Linked DNA regions of Sus scrofa. The protein of the gene in region 1 binds, or shares a complex with, the protein of each later gene. Links are inferred from orthologs where the notes say so. Each region holds a gene or a part of one and is shown on either strand. Other genes may lie near its edges. The genes, in order: ANP32A, NME1 and TREX1.

Evidence for each region.
Region 2: ANP32A (region 1) and NME1 share a complex: the UniProt entries of both Homo sapiens proteins name them as parts of the SET complex. The link is inferred for Sus scrofa from reciprocal best matches to the Homo sapiens genes ANP32A and NME1.
Region 3: ANP32A (region 1) and TREX1 share a complex: the UniProt entries of both Homo sapiens proteins name them as parts of the SET complex. The link is inferred for Sus scrofa from reciprocal best matches to the Homo sapiens genes ANP32A and TREX1.

Annotation. Positions count from the first base shown.
Region 1 is NC_010443.5:166,699,714-166,706,484, reverse strand, and holds the start of ANP32A (acidic leucine-rich nuclear phosphoprotein 32 family member A), read left to right. Parts: upstream 1-2,670; 5' UTR 2,671-5,401; coding exon 5,402-5,455; intron 5,456-6,771. UniProt on the Homo sapiens protein: Multifunctional protein that is involved in the regulation of many processes including tumor suppression, apoptosis, cell cycle progression or transcription. Promotes apoptosis by favouring the activation of caspase-9/CASP9 and allowing apoptosome formation.
Region 2 is NC_010454.4:27,413,745-27,420,447, forward strand, and holds the start of NME1 (nucleoside diphosphate kinase A), read left to right. Parts: upstream 1-2,692; 5' UTR 2,693-2,785; intron 2,786-6,703. UniProt on the Homo sapiens protein: Major role in the synthesis of nucleoside triphosphates other than ATP. The ATP gamma phosphate is transferred to the NDP beta phosphate via a ping-pong mechanism, using a phosphorylated active-site intermediate.
Region 3 is NC_010455.5:31,174,696-31,181,501, forward strand, and holds TREX1 (three-prime repair exonuclease 1), read left to right. Parts: upstream 1-2,989; intron 2,990-3,196; coding exon of another isoform or gene 3,197-3,449; 5' UTR 3,450-3,858; coding exon of another isoform or gene 3,859-3,926; 5' UTR 3,927-4,914; coding exon 4,915-5,859; 3' UTR 5,860-6,069; downstream 6,070-6,806. Other genes in the region: ATRIP (ATR-interacting protein), read left to right, coding at 2,066-2,202, 2,364-2,455, 2,909-2,989, 3,197-3,449, 3,859-3,926. UniProt on the Homo sapiens protein: Major cellular 3'-to-5' DNA exonuclease which digests single-stranded DNA (ssDNA) and double-stranded DNA (dsDNA) with mismatched 3' termini. Prevents cell-intrinsic initiation of autoimmunity.

The DNA.
Region 1 (6,771 bases):
TCCCACTCTTTTCCTGGACCTTTTTCTTTAGTTCTGTGATAGCCCTAAAAGAAATTGCCTGCTGCTTGTATCAGTCAGGGAAACGTTCCACTGTCTGCAACTAAGAATTCCTACCAACACAGACACCCCCCAAACCTGCTATACCTATCTTTTCCTTTAAAATAATTTTTTATTGCAAAAAAATTATTTGTCAACTTAAAAACTTAGAAAATACAGACTAAACCAAAAAAACACGGAGCCTCATCACCCATAGAGATCACATCACCTTTGTAAAACAAATTTTCTCAAACATTTTCTTTTTTATCGTGGGTACTCTCCTGGACTTTTCCTGGGTATATGAATATATTGTCTTTCTTTAGCTGTGAAAAGTGCTACCACACTATGATCAACATGTTTGTTATTTACCTGCTATTCTGCCTCATTTACAGCACTGCCTCTCCACATGAACACAGACAATAATGAATTGGTCCAGCCTGGTGAAAACTATTTGTCACCCTTACTCAAGTTGCCTTTGAATAAATATATGTAGAAGTGATATAATTCTCCCATGCAAGAAGGCATACAAAATGATTCCAGAGGACAGTGTTCCTCTGCTGCGTAAGTCTTCACATGGCTCTCACTTGGTCAAGTGCAGTGGATGTATAATTCTTACATTCAAGTTGCTAGGATTCAGAATTTTCAGAGAAAGTTTAGGGTATAAGTATACTTCCATAAGGGCCTAATATTTCCACTGGATTTAATATTAAAATTACTAATTTCTCAGAATGCATTAAATTGATCTCTAAGAAGAACTATAGAATATATATATATATCTTAATAATTACTTATAGGAACAAATAATAACTGCCATTAAAAGTAGGTAATCTGAGAGGACAATTTTACTCTGTATGCTTAAGCTTATAAACAGTATTTGCTGACAGTAAATATATTAAAAGTTCTTAGAAAGTCTGTTCTCTACCTCTTACATCTTAATAGACTTTAGTATAATACTCTTTTCTTCATAAACTTCAATGCCAGATAGATTAAAATGAACTAGTAGTTTTAAATTAATTGCATTTCTATTTTTTTTCCAACCTAGGATGCCCTCAGTCAGTCTTGCCCTATGGCTCCTCATTCCATTGCCTTTAAAACCTCTATTTTTTCCTTTATAACTATATTTTAAAACTAAAAATAAGAGCCTATCACTATGGTTTTTCTTCCTGGTGGATGGTAAACAGACTTTCCTCTTATTGCTTCCCCCAAATTACCTGTAATACATTTAAGAAACAGACTCACAAAATCTCTAGTGAGTTCCAAACAAGTGTGTAGACTATAGGGTTTGTTGTTTGGTTGTTTTTCTTTTCAAAATAAACTGTGAGTTGCTTCTCTGATTTTTTGCTATTAATTTAAAAAAATCACATACAATGATTATTTTTATCTGACAGTGCTTTTTCTCCATGACCAACACATTGATAAGGTAGTTATTCAATAATTTGAAAAATAAAATCATCCAATGCTTTATTAAGCAAAAGAATTAAGAATAGTTAACCTTTCAGATCCTGGACTTCAATATGCCTTTGCTATTCAAATCTCAATGCAGTAGTCTTCACGTTTGTTACCATGAATTTCAAAAGAATAATCTACATTTCTAAAAGCTATTTATATAGAAAGACAAAAGAGAACATAAATAAGCTGGAGTCTTTCCGTATCATTGTCTTTTGAGGTACAGGCAGCAGAACCATGATGGAGGTGAAAAGGTCCTATGGCCAGGTTCCAATGTATGTGATTCAAGCTGAAGAACAAAAGCTGAACGGTGAATACATTAACGCGACTCATAAAAGTATGCTAACCAGCGGGTCTCCATCTTTAGAGACCAAACAAGGGCAAATGAGTTTAAATGGTAGCAGCATCAATGTGGATTACTTATAAAACAGTACTTTCCAAAATGTATCAAGAGGCTAAGGATGCCCATTGCTCATACTTCTTAGAGAATAAGATAGGCTGGCTGCTCGTTTGTTTGGAGTGGTTCTTGAAGGAAATATTCTGGAAAGCAGTCAGATATCTTTCCTTACTTGAATGCCATCTTTCTCCCTAGGGGTTCAAACCTTTGAATTGTATCTCATTTATTCTTCTTAGTGTGAATCAAATCCAGTCCTGGAGGTTACAGACTACATTTTTTATAACCTTAACTCCCATTGTGGAATCACTTGAGAGTTAGGAACTCATCTTCTTCCCACTCCACATCAAAATTCAGCCAAGATTCCCTGACATGGAATTTATTCTTACTGTATCTCTGATATTCAAAGCCTTTCAAGGGCATTTATTTCCTTCAGTTTGCAATGAAATGGATTTAAGAAACAACTGGATAAAACAGGGAATATAAAGGCAATGTTCACTTGTTATTTTGATTTTCGATCAAGTAGCATGAGGCATATGGCACAGCTCTGGCTGAGCTATATTCCTATATCCTTTTGATAATAACAATTTCAAAAATCTAAATCACTAAAAATTTCTTGGGAATAAACTACAAACAAATCTATTTGTGAAAGTGAGAGAAAAATATCTTCTTTCAAAGTATGTTGGAAAGATGGTAAGTTTTCAATTAGCTATATACTGTTTGGATATTTCAACTTCTGTAATAATTGACATCCAGTGAAGCCTTTTTTTTTTTTTTTTTTTTTTTGCTTTGTAGGGCTGCACCCATGGCATATGAAACTTCTTGGGCTAGGGGTCTAATTGGAGATAAAGCTGCCAGCCACAGCCACAGCAAAAATCCGAGCCACATCTGCCACCTACACCATAGCTCATGGCAATGCTGGATCCTTAACCCACTGAGCAAGGCCAGGGATCAAACCCACAACGTCATGGTTTCTAGTGGGATTCGTTTCTGCTGTGCCATGACAGGAACTCCTAAGGAAGCCTCTTTCAGTTTTCCAAAACCAGTACAAAAGCTGTTATATCTAAAACAACTGTTTGACTAGTAATCAAGTCATGACTTTTTTGATTCTAACTTGTTCCTGGACACTCTTTTTAACCAAGATTTGGGCTTTATTCTCTCCAGTCTTTGTTCCATAAAGTGAGCTATTTGCTTCCGAATGGCAGAGCTGGATGGGGGACATCTTAGCATTTGATTGGTTGGCTTTTAAGGGATTACTTCTCTGGAAAGGCACTGTCCCATATTATCACATTGCTAGCAGTGTGGATTTAGTTGTGATCAAATTTTTAAATTGAAGATGAACATTTACCACCAAAGAGGACATAAACTTCATGACTCCTGTGTTATATAGATTCCTATACATCATATTGGTTTAATGTGTTTGTGATGAAGAGCTCTGTTTTAAAACAACCTTAAATACCACATCCAGAAATAGGAACTGACTCTGGCAAAGAGGTTATTCGGGGTCCCAATATGTTTAATAACGAAGTCAATACAATTTTAAAAAGAATAAATTCCAACTACACAAATGGACTTTAATAAGATTAACAAAACTGAGGAAGACTGATACGTCAATAAGTCAACAAGTATATATAACATACCCAGATGAAATAAAACAATGACTTCCCATTTTTATCTTGCATTTCCCAGCTACTTAAGAGTAAACATGATCACTTTTCAAATCCCACTTAATATTTTATCTGAAAGAAGAATTTACTGAGTAAAATGCTTAGCTTCAGGATCTCACATTTGCAATCCATCAGGTTACAATATTAGTTACCACTGTTTCTTCCCTCGGTGTAAGCATTCTATATGTGACTTTTACTTACATTCTGCCACTTTTTATTTCTTCCTAACTTTTATATGCTCAAGAATGAAACTGTATTGGTGTTACGTAACATCTCAAATTTGCAACATACATATTGGTGTATCTCACTTGAACCTACATCCCTGAAAAATAAACACAATGTATCCAAAAGAACTACCTCGGAGTGTATGAGGAGGAAGAGCGTAGCTGTGTAGAAATAAAAGAATGGAAAAACAGTTTTGTGGAGATGTATCTGTCCTTGTTGACAACAATCCCCATGATTTATTAACAGACACAGGCAGCCAACTTAGTACACAACAAGGTCCTAGCACGGAAGTTGGTAATCAAGTGGGAATTAAGGCTTTAAGGTCTCTTACAACCAATGTGATTCAAAAAAAATCCAAAGCAAGCAAACCGTACAACTTGGAGAAAGTGCTCCAAACAGAGCTTCTTTGGCAACCCAAATTGAACCAAATGACTCAGGTGGACGATTAAAATAAACTGTGCGCCGTTTTATTTCACCAGGTCAATAAAGCCCATAAATTATTTTTGGTCCAGAAAACCAGGAGTTACAAGCACCTTCCTTTTCATTTATTTAAAATATTCAATATATTCAGTATCAATTTTTAGTCCCTGCTCTTCATTCACTTATTGACTAAGATCCTGTGTGCCTTTTGGTGATCATTCCTTCCAAGCTAGTAAAACAGCAAACTGAAATGCCCCTCCATGCAGAGGGTCGAGACCGAGAGGTTAAGTCACCCAAAGGTGGACGCACCTTGCTTTTTATTTACTGAAGTATGCGAGGGACTACGATGGCCATGGCTGGACTACGACGAGGCGGGAGGCGAAGGGGCGCGCGGGCTGTGGGCTGTAGCTCAGGGGTTGGAACCCGCAAAAGAGATGGGGGCAGCAGCCACCCTCCACTAGCTCGGCCCAAAGGACCCAGAAAAAGACCACCCCTCCCCCCACTGCACCCTTGACCCCTCCCCCTCTTTCCAGGCCTTTCATCCGCCCGCCCGCGGGGCAGTCCGCTGCCCCCAGGCCTCGCACTGCCTGCCTCTTTCCACAACCCAGTGGAGGGGCGAGGGTAGGCCCAGGGCGACCCCGCGAAGCCCTCCGCCCGGCGAGAACCCCAACCCCCGGCCCCTCCGGCCGCGCCCCTCCCTTTCATATAACGCACCTGCGGCCCCGCCCCCGGCCAAACGCTGAGGCGGCTGCGGGGCTGGTGAGGCCGGGCGGCTTGGCCCTCCAGGCACAGTCACCTTCCCTTCCCCCGCCATTCCGCCCACCCCCCTAGCTCAGCAACCGAGCTGCCGCCGCGCTCCTCAGCCGCCCCGAAATCTAAAGGGGTCCGTCTCCGGTACCACAACCAAATGGCTGAGCCTCCCTGGCCGGCTGCGCAGCCCGCCCATTGGTCCCTTCCCCCCCGCCTCCGCCACCATTCGTTGTTGCCCGGAGACCCTCGGCGGCGATTGGCTAAGGCCGCTGCCACTCGTCCGCGGAGCCGCCGATCCCGCCTCCACGGTGATCAGGTTAGTGTGCGCCGCGGGTGCTGGGGGCTCGAGAACCGAGCGGAGCTGGTTGAGCCTTCAAAGTCCTAAAACGCGCGGCCGTGGGTTCGGGGTTTATTGATTGAATTCCGCCGGCGCGGGAGCCTCTGCAGAGAGAGAGCGCGAGAGATGGAGATGGACAAACGGATTCATTTAGAGCTGCGGAACAGGACGCCCTCTGATGTGAGCATTTGCCAAAAATATCTCTGTCGGTCCATTCTCCTACTTTGTGTGTGTGTGTGTGCGTTGGGGGGAGGCACTTTTTTTGGGGGGGGCGCCTAGGAGATGTGGGTTTGGGGGTCGGACTGCAAATGAATTGCAAGGTTGGGGGGTTGCAATGCCATCCGATCATTTTCTGGCTGTCGCCGCCGCTGCCCTTGGTGTGTGACTACCTGTGCGTGTGCTCCCGCGTGTGCGAGTGTGGGTGCGAGAGTGTGCGTGCGAGTGTGCACCCATCGGGGGCCAGCGGGCGCACGCGTTTGGGTCGGAGAGAATGAGGCAGAATAACCCTCTGAGCTCGCTGCTCGCGTGACTCCGTCTAGGGGAAAGATTAACGAGGGAGGAGGAGGAGAGGGGCTGCCTCCTGGATTTAACAACAAAAAAAGGGGGTTTTATATTTTATAAATGAATCCCCCCTTCCTCCCCCCTCCCGCGCCTTCCCCCTCCCTTTCTCCCTCTCTCTCCGTCTCTCTCTCTCTCTCTCTCGCTCGCACACACACAATAAGTTTTGGGCTTCGCGAGTCCGGTTTAGTTTCTGATAAATGTGGGCCGAGGCCCCTGGGGAGAGCGCATGGGGAGGGGGCTGCAGCGGAGTTGGGAATGGCTCGAGTTTAAAGTGCGTCTTCATTTCTTTGCAGTGATGAGGCGAGAGACGGGGGAGCCATATTTGTAACTTTGTAGTGTTCGTGAACGCGCCCTTTCTCTCCCTCCCTCCCTTTCTCTGCCTCCTTTCCTCTCCTCCTCTTTCTCCCTCACTCTTTCCACCCCACCTTCGGGCCAGATGCTGATGTTTCTTCCTTTCCTTCTGAAGGGAAGATAAATTGGAAGAAGGGGGGGGAGGGATTTTCGAACGTGCAAAGGCACAGATAATCCCCGCGCCTCCCCACCTCGCGCGATCGCTACTGCAAGTTACCCAAAGGCTAAGTCCAGGTCCTCCCTCTCCCCCTTGCTCCTTCCAGCCTCCCTAAGGTGCCAGCCTTCGAGCCGTGGCGCCCCCCGGCACCGACCCCTGGCCTGTCTTGTCTCTAGGGTGGGCTCCTTGGCAGCCATTCGGCGACGGGTTAATAAATGGGCCCGGGAAACTTTGTCAGGACGCGAGCTGCCCAGAGCTGGTGCCCGTGGTGGGTATTGGCTGGGTCCAGATTTATGCGGGCATAACAGACACGCAGCTCCGGGATGGGAGTTTGCCTTCCCGTCGCCGTTATTGATTGGGCAGAGGCGCGAGTACGGCCAGAGGAAACTTACACGGATGGGAACCCGGAGGCTCTGGCCAAAGCCCA
Region 2 (6,703 bases), on another chromosome or scaffold:
AATGGGAACTCTTTGCTCATTCTATATTTGGATTTTTTTTTCTTTACAGTTGAGTTGTAAGAATTCTCTATATAGTCTCGATACTGGGGCTGTGTTGGACATGCAGTTTGCAAATATTTTCTTCTACCCTGCAGCTTATTTTTTTTCATCCTCTTCTTGGGGTCTTTTGAAGAGCCAAAGATTTTAATTTTGATAAGATCCAACTTATCAGAGTTTTCCTTTTATGGATTTTGCTTTAGGTGGCAAGTCTAAAAACTTGCCTACCCCTTGGTCTTGAAGAATTTTTTTTTTGGCCGCACCTTGGGCACATGGAAGTTCTTGGGCCAGGAACTTAATCCAAGCCACAGCCATGGCAACACCAGATCCTTTAACCCACTGCACCATAGCAGGAACACCTGAAGATTTTTTCCACCATGTTTTCTTTTTCTAAACTTTTTGTAGTTTGATTGAAAAAAAAAAAAGGTACAACCTAAAAGTTGTGAATTATGTTTTATTTGGTGACCTTTCTATGACTATAGCTTGGGAGACAGACTCTCAGATAGCTCTAAGGAACTGTTCCAAAGAAGTAAGAGAGAAGTCAGGATATTCAGATTTTACTGAGAAAACAAACAAACAAACCATAAAACATGTTAGTGGAGTTCCCTTGCGGCACAGTAGATTAAGGATCCAGCATTATCATTGCAGCAGTTCAAGTTGCTACTGTGGCTTGGGCTCCATCCCTGGCCTAGGAACCTCAACATGCCCTGGGCATGGCTGAAAAAAAATGTTAGTGGAACATCAAAAGATTATTGCTAATTTCAAAACGTAGATGCATATGCATTGAGAACACAACAACAATCAAAATGCTCATTGAAATTATTCCTTTGAGGATTTCCTGTTGTGGCTCAGCAGTAACGAACCTGACTAGAAACCATGAGTAAGCAGTTTTGATCCCTGGCCTTACTTAATGGGTTAAGGATCTGACGTTGCCAAGAGCTGTCATGTAGGTTGAAGACAGACTCAGCTTGGATCCCAAGTTGCTGTGGCTGTGGCTTAGGCCAGCAGCTGCATCTCTGATTTGACTCGTAGCCTGGGAACTTCCATATGCTGCAGGTGTGACCCTAACCAAAAAAAAAAAAAAAAAAAAAAAAAGAAGAAGAAAGAAAGAAATTATTCCTTTGACATGCATCTTTATCTAGGGCCAGTATACTATTTTTCTCTTCAGGGTGCACCTTTGGGGAGGCTGCAGTGGCTGATGGCTTGATGACAGGCCATATTCTTTGTTTACTGAAATGGCAGGCATAGTTTTTTTGTTTTGTTTTGTTTTTTTGCTTTTTAGGGCTACACCTTCGGCATATGTAAGTTCCCACGCTTGTGGTTGAATCAGAGCTGCAGCTGCTGGCCTACACCACAGTCACAGCCACAGCCAAGGCCAAGCCAGATCTGAGCTGTGTCTGTCACCTACACCACAGTTCACGGCAATGCTGGATCCTTAACCCACTGAGCCAGGATAGGGATTGAACCCATATCCTCATGGATACTAGTTAGGTTTGTAATTCTCTGAGCCGCCACCTGTTTTGTTTTGGGGGTTTTTGGGTTGCACCCGGGGCATGTGGAAGTTCTCTGAGCTCGGGATCAAATCCATGCCACCGCAGCTACCCAATCTGCTGCAGTGACAATGCTGTATCCTTAACCTGCTGTGCTACAAGGGAACTCCTATCCACATAGTTTTACACTTACAAATCTATAATCCCTCTGGAGTGATTTTCTTTCAAAGTGGGAGGTTTAGGTGGAGGTTTTTTCTTTCCTTCCTTCCTTTCTTCTTACTTTCTTTCTGCCTATAGGTGCTCCAGCACATTTTTTGAAAAGGCTCCTGATTCTATCCTGTACTTTACCACAGCCATTCCTCCTGCAGCAGGCAATGATTTTTTTTTTTAAATGTATCAGATGATATCATGCCCTGCTCAAAATTCTCCAATGGCTTCCCACCACATCATAATCTTGCTGCTCTCCAGTTGCATTTTCTAGCACTTAATGTCCACTGGCTCTCAGGTAATCTGACTTCAGCAGGTCTATTCTACTGTCACCCCCTGAGAGAGCACACCAGTCAACATTTAAAGTACTCCTTTACCCTACCCCCTCGCTGTGCTTTTTCTCAGTAATATTTACATACTATGATATATTACATGTTAATTTGCTCATTTGTTTATTGTTTGTCTTTATTCCCAACCCCACGAGAAGTTCCAAGAAAGTTTACTGCTATACCCCAGACTCTGAAACAATATCTGACACATAGAAGGTACTCAATAAATAATTTGCTTGACAGGCTGGAAAGAATGAGCAAATGTAAAACGAGGACACTGACTACTTCTAGGTCAGGCGCTAGTTCAGTTTTCACGCAAAGTGTGAGCGCCACCTCTCGGGAAGCCAGTTTGCTCGCGAAAGAAGGAAGTGAGTCACAGATCTTAAAGGGAAAAAAAAGATGGCTGCAGCGTGCGAGAAGAATAGGGAGAAGCCGTACCGGAAGTTGAACTTCAGGAAGTTGCTCCCTTGAACGATATCCGACTGTCGGGAGGAAGCGTAGGCGAGTGGTGTTCTGCAAAATGGGCTCTCCTGCAGCCGATTATGCGCAGAAGCGTTCCGCGCGAGCGGGTGCTAGGAACCACGAGGAGCTGGGGCGTGTTTCCGGTGCGGGTGACAGGCGACGGAGTTGAAGCCCAAGTGCCCGGAGGGGTGAGAAGGGTTCGAGGTCCTGAGAGAAAAGGGAGAAGAGTGGGGTCCAGGGAGGGGGAGGTGAAGAGGTCGGGTAAGTTCCACTCGGAGAAGTGGCCAGGGGGATCGGGTGGGAGGGACGCACCCATTGACAGGTGCAAACCTGTCAGCTCACGTCCCGCGCCACGTGGACTCGGCTTTGTCCGTGGCTGCTTTTCCCATCAGTCCGTGACTGTAAGGGTTGTGCCTTATTTGTTTATATCGAGTGCAGTGCTCAGTGCTTACTGAATGAATGACAGATATGTATCAAGAGTGGGTGTGGGGAACACGTATAGGGACTGCTGTTTGTGGCTCTTTAGCCCCATGTTCTCCTAGGGAATTCATGCTTGTCTGTAGCTTCTATTAGGAGTTCTCCGCCAGTTCTTGGGCCTTGTCTCTTTTTCTTGGAGGTGCAGGGCGGTTATCATTTAAGACATTTTCTTTGCTCTTATTGAGTACTAGGCTCTGTAACTAGGTACTAGGGAAGTAAATCATCTCTGTATTCAGGGGCAGGCCTGTGAGAAATAAACAGAAAATTCACATATATTGTTAAGGTGTTGTAATAAAAGGCCAACTAAATTATAGGAAGGTAGAGCCAGGAGGTGGTGCTGCTATCCACATAGGGATTGTCTTTCAAGGTGAGGGGACTCCTTTGTCATCTTGTGGAGGCAGAGCAGGTCCTGAGTTGAGACTTCTTATCTGTAAAAGGAAGAGTCTGAAGTAGGTGGTCTCTAGGCTTTCTTCCAACAGATATTACTCATGGCTACAGTTCTCCCACAATCCACCATTTATTGGTTAGTCAGAATATTCATTAATCTTGTGATGTAGCATAAGCTGCAGAGGGTTGGGAAATCTGGATTGTGACCCTCCTTCTGGTACTCCAGATGTGTTTCCTCATTTGTAAAAGAAAAGATTGTAATGAAATAATCTCTAAACTCCTTCCTGTTATAGCATGCTGAGGTAGTAGGTCAAACTGTATTTCATACTGCCTTGTTTTAGACATCACTCACATATTATCACTGTAGTTTCCCTCATCTGGATAATCCAGAAAGATATTCTTTTCTTTTTCTCTTAATACTTCTTGTCTCAGTTCTGCCATAGTATTGGGTACCCAGTAGATGCTTATGTTAGTCCCCATTGTGGCTCAGTGGCTTAAGAAGCCGACTAGTGTCTGTAAGGATGCAGGTTCGATCCCTGGCCTCACTCAGTGGGTTAAGGATACACATTGCCACAAGCTGCAGCGTAGGTCACAGATGCAGCGTGGATCTGGTGTGGCTGTGGCTGTGGTGTAGGCCTGCAGCTGCACTCTGATTCTACCTCTAGCCTTTCTGTATGCTAGAAGGGTGGGTACAGCCCTAAAAATAAAAACAAAAACAAAAAACTGGCTTCTGCACACAAAGGCAAGGAGAGACTGAAGAAAGGCAGACCACTCCAGATTATAGGTGGCAGTTATAATGACCAAGGGAGCTTGAGGTGGCTGCTGTCACCTACCAGAATTTTAAAAGTTATGCATAGAGTCTTTAAATGGGTTTAGTCATCTATTCAGTCCAGATGGTCTCAACAACACTTTACTCTCTCAAGGCTATGTTTTGTCCTTCGAACAGCCCCTACTATGGGGACAGTAGGCAGAGTGTACCTTTCAAAAACAGAGGTGAGGAGCCTCTAGTTGCCTGGGGACGTATTCTCTCCATGACCTCCTCCAATACTCCACCCCTTGCAACTAGCTCTCACAATCTCATCCCCACTCCCCAGATGCATTGTGCCCTGAGAGATCAGCAAAGGGTGGAGGCGGCTCATTTGGCAGCCATCTGATTGCAGTGGAGGCAGATGTCAGAGCAGCATTATAGAGGCATGTGTAAGAGACGCATGGATTAAGACGATTCCCTAAATAATAACAATTTTCTCCTCCAGGAGCCTCATCATCTGAACCATTGATTTACTAAATCCCTTTGTCAGGCAGTAATAATGTCCTGCTTTGGAGGACAGCTTTTGCCATTAAAGATAAAGTGTTCCATAAAGACAGGTTTTGCAGGCTAGTATTTAAGGCTTGCTGGGTGAATTTAGTAAGGGCTTCTCTCTGTGCTATAATGCCCGTCAGGCCAAAGGAGGGGACAAAAATGGTGGCTAAATGATTGTTCCAGTGGGAAACCGAATGTGCCCATCTGGCCTGGAGGAGAGGGAGGTTGGCAGCTCTAGGAACTTGACCTAGTTATGTATGCTATACATGTTGGCCAGGGCAGGCAGCCCTGTCTGGCATGAGGAGATGGAGTAGGCGTGGGATATGCCAGACCAGGACCCCTTCCTTCTCCCCTCTTCAGAGGTGCATGTTCCCTTCCAGGTATAGCACATCTCAACAGGCCAGCTTGTGGCAGGGCTGCAGCCTCCCAGTGGAAACTGAGTAATTCCCCCTCACCCAGGGGTGGGGCTTAGTGTTCTCAGCAGCACAGTCCATTGATCCACAGAGAGAGCTGTTTCCCAAGACATTGGGTATCTTGGCAGGGGTCTCTCGTCTGGCATAAAAGGCCACAAGTTCTACTGGTTCATCATTCAAATGTATCAAAGTCTGGGACAGTACTTCAGTCCACCTGGCCAGGGTGGTTTTACTTTTTAGTACTTTATTTATTTATTTATTTATTGTCTTTTTGCCCTTTTCTAGGGCTGCTCCCGCGGCATATGGAGGTTCCCAGGTTAGGGGTCGAATTGGAGCTGTAGCTGCCGGCCTACGCCAGAGCCACAGCAACACGGGATCTGAGGCGAGTCTGCAACCTACATCACAGCTCACGGCAACACTGGATCCTTAACCCACTGAGCAAGGCCAGGGATCGAACCTGCAACCTCATGGTTCCTAGTTGGATTTGTTAACCCTTGAGCCTCGACAGGAACTCCAATTTGTTAGTACTTTAATCTGCTGTTTTACTATTTCATTTTTCTTTCCTGACTGTGGGTCATAGGGGAGATGGGACTTCATTTAATGTCATATTCTTTTCTTTTTTCTTTCTTTTTTTTTTTGCTTTTCAGGGCCACACCCTCAGCATATGGAGGTTCCCAGGCTAGGGGTCTAATCGGAACTGTAGCTGCTAGCCTATGCCACAGGCACAGCCATGCAAGATCCAAGCCATGTCTGTGACCTACACCACAGCTCACAGCAGTGCCAGATCCTTAACCCACTGAGCGAGGTCAGGGATCGAACCTGAAACCTCACGGTTCCTAGTCGGATTCGTTTCCACTGCGCCATGACGGGAACTCCAATGTCATGTTCTTTTGCCCAGTTTTGTACCTCATGACCTTTGAAAGTAACCCACAATTACTGTCTATTCAATAAGGTATCCATACAGGATCTCAGCTACTCTAATCCCATAATGGTGGCAGCCTGGTTTGTGAGGTGACAAGGGAAAGCTTGGGTTAGGCTAGATGCGGTGTCCACACAAACCAAGGCATATTTAGAAGCTTCACCTGGAGGGAGGGGCCAATATAATCAATTTACCAATTCCACACCCATTGGGAGCCCTGGTCAGTGGTCCCAGACTCTTGGCCGTAGTCTTCAATGTTGTTTAGAACACACAGGGCGGGAGTTCCCGTTGTGGCACAGCAGAAAGAATCTGGCTGGGATCCATGAGGTTGCGGGTTCAATCCCTGGCCTCGTTCAGTGGGTTAAGGATCTGGCATTGCCATGAGCTGTGGTGTAGGTTGCAGACTCGCCTCTGCTCCCTTGTTGCTGTGGCTGTGGCATAGGCTGGCGGCCACAGCTCTGATTTGAGCCCTAGCCTGGGAACCTCCATGTGCCGCTAGCACAGCCCTAAAACAAGCCAAAAAAAAAAAGAAGAAGAAGAAGAACACACAAGGCTTTCTCTGATGGTGGCTCAGTAGGTTAAAGATCCAGCATTGTCACTGCAGTGGCTTGGGTTGCTACTGTGGTGCAGGTTCAGTCCCTGGCCTGGGAACTTTCACAAGACATAGGCATGGCCAAAACAAG
Region 3 (6,806 bases), on another chromosome or scaffold:
TACAGCTTTACTGAATTCATTGATGAGATTGAATAGTTTTCTATAAGCATCTTTAGGATTTTCTATGTATAGCACCATGTTCTCTGCAAACAGTGACAGTTTTACTTCTTTTCCAATTTGGATTCCTTTTCTTTTTCCTCTGTGACTGCCATGACTAGGTCTTCCAAAATTATGTTGAATAAAAGTGTGAGGGTGAACATCCTTGTCTTGTTCCTGATCTTAGAAGAAATGCTTTCAGTTTTTCACCATTGAGTTTGTTAGTTATGGGTTTGTCATATATGGCCTTTATTATGTTGAGGTAGGTTCCCGCTCTGCCCATTTTCTGGAGAGGTTTTATCATAAATGGGTGTGGAGTTTTGTCAAAAGCTTTTGCTGCATGTTGAGATGACCGTATGGTTTTTATTCTTCAATTTGTTAGTGTGGTATATCACACTGATTGATTTATGGATACTGAAGAATCCTTGCATCCCTAGGATAAATCCCACTTGATTATAGTGTATGGTCCTTTTAATGAATTGTTGGATTAGGTTTGAGGATTTTTGCATTGATGTTCATCAATGATATTGGCCTATAATTTTCTTTTTTTGTAGTATTTTTGTCTGGTTTTGGTCTTGGGGTGACGGTGGTCTCATACAATGAATTTGTAAGTGTTCCTTCCTCTACAATTTTTTGGAATAGTTTCAGAAGATGTACATGTTAACTCTTCTCTAAATGTTTGATAGAATCCACTGTGAAAGCCATCTGGTCCTGGACTTTTGTTGGGAGTTTTTTTTCTTTTTTAAAATATATATTTTTTTCTTTTTAGGGCCACACCTGTGGCATTTGGAAGTTCCTGGGCTAGGGGTCAAATTGGAGTTGCGAGCTGCAGCTGCCACCCTACACCACAGCCACAGCTACACCGGATGCAAGCCACATCTGCAATCTACACACAGCTTGCAGCAATGCCTGATCCTTAGCAAAATGAGTGAGGCCAGGGTTCAAACCCCTACCCTCACAGAGACTGTGTTGGGTACTTAACCCGCTGAGCCACAAAGGGAACTCCTGCTGGGAGTTTCTTAATCACAGATTCAATTTCAGTACTTGCCTTTGTATGCCAGCAGTACACTCCCCTCTTGTTACCCAGGGGCCAGGGACCAGCTAGTCCCAGGGTAGGTTCTGACCTGTTTGCAGACTCAGTTCTGCAGGATGCAGGATCATATTTTCTTGTTTAGAGTGTCTGCCTCCAGGTGAGTGAAGCTTATCTAGAGGCTTGTGCAGGCTTCCCCATGGGAGTGCAGCTCCTGATGGGTGGAGCTGGGTCTTGGCCCTCAGGTGGGGCAGGGCTTTGTCAAGGGGTGTGTCTAGAGGTGGCTGTGGGCCCAGGAAGTCTTTTTTTTTTTTTTTTGGCTACCCTGAGGCATACGAAGTTCCCAGACCAAGGACCAGATCTGAGCAACAGTGGTGACCAATACCGCAGTTGCAGCAATCTGGATCCTTTAACCCACTGTGCAGGGCCAGGGATCAAATCTGTGTCCTGGCACTGGAGAGACACCACCAACCCCATTGCACCACAGTGGGAACTCCTCAGAAAGTCTTTAGGCAGCCTGTCTACTAATGGGTGGGGCTGCATTCCCAGGCGGTGGGTTGGCTAGCCTCATAAGATCCAGCCATAGCCAAGGCTCCATCACTGCTGAAGCCTGGCTCATTCTTTGGTGGTATCCCAGGACATTTCTCTCACACCCAAGTTAAGACCTGCCTCCTATTTGGGAGCAGAGCCTCCCAGGAGCAATATGGAGGCCAGGCACCCCAGGTCCAAGGAGGCATCCTGAAATACAAATGCTGGACAGCACTGTCAGCTAAGGACCTGTCATCTCCAAGCCACAGCAGTCCTGCAGTGGAGGGTGGTACCCACTTGGTCACATAAAATGAGTATCCGCAAGTAGGCTGCCATTTGAACCCAGATCTTTCTGAATCAAGTTTTCTCTTTGCACTGGCCTCTTGGAAGTTCCTGTTAACCTCCAGTAAAAAGTGAGGGTGAGTTATGGGAGTGGGTCGGAGGTGTCACATCTCTCTGGGCCCGTTTCAGGTTCCAGTGCGTGTTCCGGGTGCTGCCCCAGTGCCTGCGCCCAGAGACACCCCTGCCTGGTGTGCTACTGACTGTTGAGCTCCTGTCCCTCCTGGCGGACCATGAGAAGCTCGCCCCTCAGCTCTGTTCCCACTCAGGTAAAAGTAGGCCTGGGGTGTACGTCTAGGCTGCTCCTGCAAGTTGCAGTGAAGGGTGGTGGCAGGGACAGGTCAGGGGCCTCCTGAGGGCTTCTGCAGCTTGTACCCAGGTGCTGGGTAGGGAGGGGAACCCTGAATGACAGGTGGGACATCCTTTCCAGAAGGCTGCCTCCTCCTCCTCCTGTACATGTACATCACGTCAAGGCCTGACAAAGCAGCCTCGGAGACACAGTGGCTTCAGCTGGAACAAGAGGTAAAACTACTAGAGCCCCTTCTGTGGCCTGCTCACCACCCCACTCCAGAGCCACTTTTCCTCCTTCTGGGAACAAAGGGAGCTTTAATTCATTTTGGTAATGAGTTCAGCCACTAACAAGGTAAACTCACTTGGGGAGCTCCATACAACACAGATCCAGTACAGGCGGACTTCTGGGGATCCTGGGACTTAGCAGGGTTGCCTGATAACTGATGCTCCCCTGGTTTGGGGGCCTGGTGGCTGGAGGTAGCCTGGAACGAGGTGGGTCACTGGTGAGACACAGGTGTTGGCAAGCCTCTCCTGGGAAGGCCTCACAATACTACCACCTCTAGGATCCTTAGTGCAGAGGAGCAGTTGCTGAGACAACCGGAGCTCTTAGAGAAGCTTGAGAAAGCTCTCACTGACCAAGGTCCTGTTCTGCCATGGATGGAACAGAATCTCTTCCTGTTCTAGGCCGTGTGGCTCCTGGCTAAGCTTGGTGTCCAGAGCCCCTCTTCCCCAGTTACCGGCTCCAGCTGTCAGTGCAACGTGGAGGTGAGTGCCAGGGACAAGCAGGGGCAACAGCGGTTGGCTCTGTTGGTGGGTGAGGGGGCCCCGCGCAAGGATCTGTGCTCTTCCCCAGGATTAGAGCACCGCTCAGAACCTTCCTCACCTGGGGGGCAAGGAAAGGGGCTGCCCAGCTGAGCAGGTTGTTAGGGCACAGCGACCAGAAGGCCTGACCTCAGCCTGCCCCTGTCCCAGGTGGTCAGAGCACTCACCGTGATGCTGCACAGACAGTGGCTGACGGTGCAGAGGGCGGGGGCGCTCCCGAGGACTGACCAGCAGAAGCGGACAGTGCGGTGTCTGCGGGACACAGTGCTGCTGCTGCACAGCCTGTCCCAGAAGGACAAGCTCTTCACTGTGCACTGCGTGGAGGTCCTGCATCAGTACGACCAGGTGATGCCAGGGGTCAGCTTGCTGATTCGAGGGCTTCCTGACGTGACAGACTGTGAAGGTGAGCCGGCAAGACGGCCCCTCCCTGCCCAGCCCACGTTTGGGGTTTGCCCTGGAGTCTATGGGCAGGTCAGCCCTCCCCACCTTAGGTCAGCAGCCCTCCGTGCTCACGGCCTTTGCCAGCACTGGGGCCATTCTTGTCTTCCTGCTCCGGTTCTTCTCTGAGTATTATCAGCCTGCCTTTTGCTCCTATCTGTTGAATCAGCCTGGCAGAACCACGGTTTTTCCAGAAACATCCCTGTCTGAATTGCCTTTGTATCACTTTGCTTGCAGTAGCTGAGGGAGCAAGGCCTGGGCATGGAAGGGACTGGTTAGTTCCTGTGGGCCTGGGTGTGGGAGGAGAGGTGGACTTGCTGCAGTCCCAGCGCCTTTAGGCCTTGGCCACAGAACCTTCTTCTCTTTTGGCTCAGAGGCAGCCCTGGATGACCTCTGCGCCACAGAGCCCGATGTGGACGACCCTGAGATGGACTGTGGCTGAGGCCGGGTGAACATCGAGCCACATGGTGGCACCAGCGCCACTCATTTCCTTACCTCATCCACTGATTAAAAGCAGTGACTGGCTGTTTGAGAACATACCAGCCTTTGTTTCCTGAGTCTGATGTGTGTCAGCTGATTGGGAGGGACAGAGTAGGAGCGGGATCCAAGGAAACTGGGATCCTTCTTACTGTCCCTGGAGGGAGCTGAGATCCAGCCCCTTGGTGATGAATCTGCTCTGAGGAAGCAGCCCTGCTCTGCCCTGCCTGTGGAATTGCCCTGAGTCATCGCATTGGGCTGAGGCCATGGTTAGAAACCATTGTGTGGCAGAGAAGGAGGCAGCCCTTCAGCCCAGGCCTAAACCAGGGAGGCCTGGGAAAGTGGGGCCAAGGGGTGGGTACAAACGCCATGGCAGGGGCTCCCGGCAGGCTTGAGTCCTGGAGCTCGCCTTCCCGGATAGCCCTGTCCCCTGCTGTCCAGGGGTCCTGGTGCACTGTGCCAGACAGAGATCTGAGAAGGCCTTTGAGGCAGTACTGTGGGTGCCTGGGGAGGGAACGGGTGTTGGCAAGAGGGACAGCCCAGCAGGCTGACGAGCAGGGGCGGGCTTTGCTCACACCAGCTCCTGGGCGGGCTCAGGCCCAGTTTCACTTCCCGCCACTGCTGCCAGCAGCAAGAACCAGCCAGAGAGCATTCACCCTGAGTCATTGCTGCCTGCCTGCTGTTCGGTGAGGACCCCCAAGGGGATGGGGTAGGGTGGGAGGGCTGTGGGTACCTGCTCCCCCACACACACCAGGCTAAGTGGGTTCTAGGGGAGGAGCCAAACCTTCCCCTGATCAGATAGCTGAGTATGCTGATCCCACAAAGGAAGCCACCGCACCTTCTCTGGCTTCCTGCCCACCCACCCCCTACCCTCCTTTCCTCTTATCACTGGGCACTCACCCTCCCCACCCCCACCCCATGCTCCTCCCCAGGCTCAGCGCCAGATACCTACCATGGGCTCGCAGGCCCTGCCCCAGGCTCCCGTGCAGACCCTCATCTTCTTGGACCTGGAGGCCACTGGCCTGCCCTTCTCCCAGCCCAAGGTCACGGAGCTATGCCTGCTAGCTGTCCATAGATGTGCCCTGGAGAGCCTTCCCATCCCACAGGGGCCTTCTCCCACGGTGCCACCGCCACCTCGGGTGCTGGACAAGCTCTCCCTGTGCGTGGCTCCAGGGAAGGCCTGCAGCCCTGCAGCCAGCGAGATCACTGGCCTGAGCACAGCTGTACTGGCTGCACATGGGCGTCAGTACTTCGATGCCAACCTGGCCAATCTCCTCCGAGCCTTCCTGCAGCGCCAGCCACAGCCCTCGTGCCTCGTGGCACACAACGGTGACCGCTACGACTTCCCCCTGCTCCAGGCAGAGCTGGCCATGCTGGGCCTTGCCAGTGCTTTGGATGACACCTTCTGTGTGGATAGTATTGCAGCCTTGAAGGCCCTGGAGCAAGCTGACGGCTCCTCGGAGCACGGCCCAAGGAAGAGCTACAGTCTGGGCAGCATCTATACACGCCTGTATGGCCAGGCTCCACCAGACTCACACACGGCTGAGGGTGATGTCCTAGCCCTGCTCAGCATCTGTCAGTGGAGGCCACGGGCCTTGCTACGGTGGGTAGATGTTCATGCCAGGCCTTTCAGCACCGTCAAGCCGATGTACGTGGTCACAGCCTCTACTGGAACCAACCCAAGGCCATCTGCTGCCAAGGCCACTGTACTCCTGGCCAAAGCCAGGAACACCAGCCCCAACCTTGGTGGGGACAGAAGCCCCAAGCCCCTTTCTCCAATGAAGAGCCCTGGAACCCCACCCAGGGAGGGACTGCTGGCCCCACTGGGCCTGCTGGCCTTCCTGACCTTGGCAGTAGCCACACTGTATGGGCTGTCCATAGCCATACCTGGGCATTAGGCCAAGGAAGGGCTGACTAATAAAGACCCTCTCACAGCGCTGAGTGATCACTCACCTCTATGCTCCGTGGCAGCCTTAGAGCCTCCTGCACTTCTGCCCACACTCAGAGACCTGGGGCCAGGACACAGAAAGTGGCAGTCCTTGTTATCACCCTTCATAGCAGGATGATGAGACGTCTGAGCCCAATAAAAGTGAGGGAAATGAACTCCAAATATTGGATGGAAATGGTTGGTACCTGGCCTAATACACAATCCCAGCAGCCAAGGCCACAAAACAGGGGGACAGCAGATCCAAATACTTGCATTTATTATAAACAAGGGTGCAGACTCTAGATTCTCAAAAACACACGAACAGGTACAAAGCTACAATGTGGTAAGACATTATAGAGGAGAGGGAACACCGAGGTATTGTGTCTGGGCCAAAGCAGCCACCCAGGGCCCCTTCCACCTTTGGTCCAGATGACCCCTTGGCCCAGGTGTCCCCACTGCCAGGACAGACTGTGGACTGGGGTACAGGAGCTGGACAGTCTGTGAGGCTGGTGCTGGGGAAGCAGGGGCTATCACGCTAGACAGTCTCTCTCCTCTGGGGCAATTTCTCTCTAGGACCCAGGGGTTTCAGCCTCACAGCAATTATAACACACACTTTGAAACAAAGCAGGTAAAATGTTTAGCTCAAAAAACACTGCAGGGATGACACCTGAGTGTGTAGGTAGACAGAGGCCAGCCTGTGCATCTGTGGCGGGAGTCAGGGCAGCCAGAACCATGGGTAAATGTGGCTTTCCAGGTGGTCCCAGGAAGGATGCAAGAGTCCAGGCAGAGAGTGCTCGAGGGAGGGTGCGGCTCTGCCTGAGATGTTTTGATATCAGGAGGCTGCCCTCCCTCCAATGGGCAAGGCACAGGCTGTGGGAGCTGTGGGCTGTCTGCCACAAGGGTTGAAACCCACCTCTG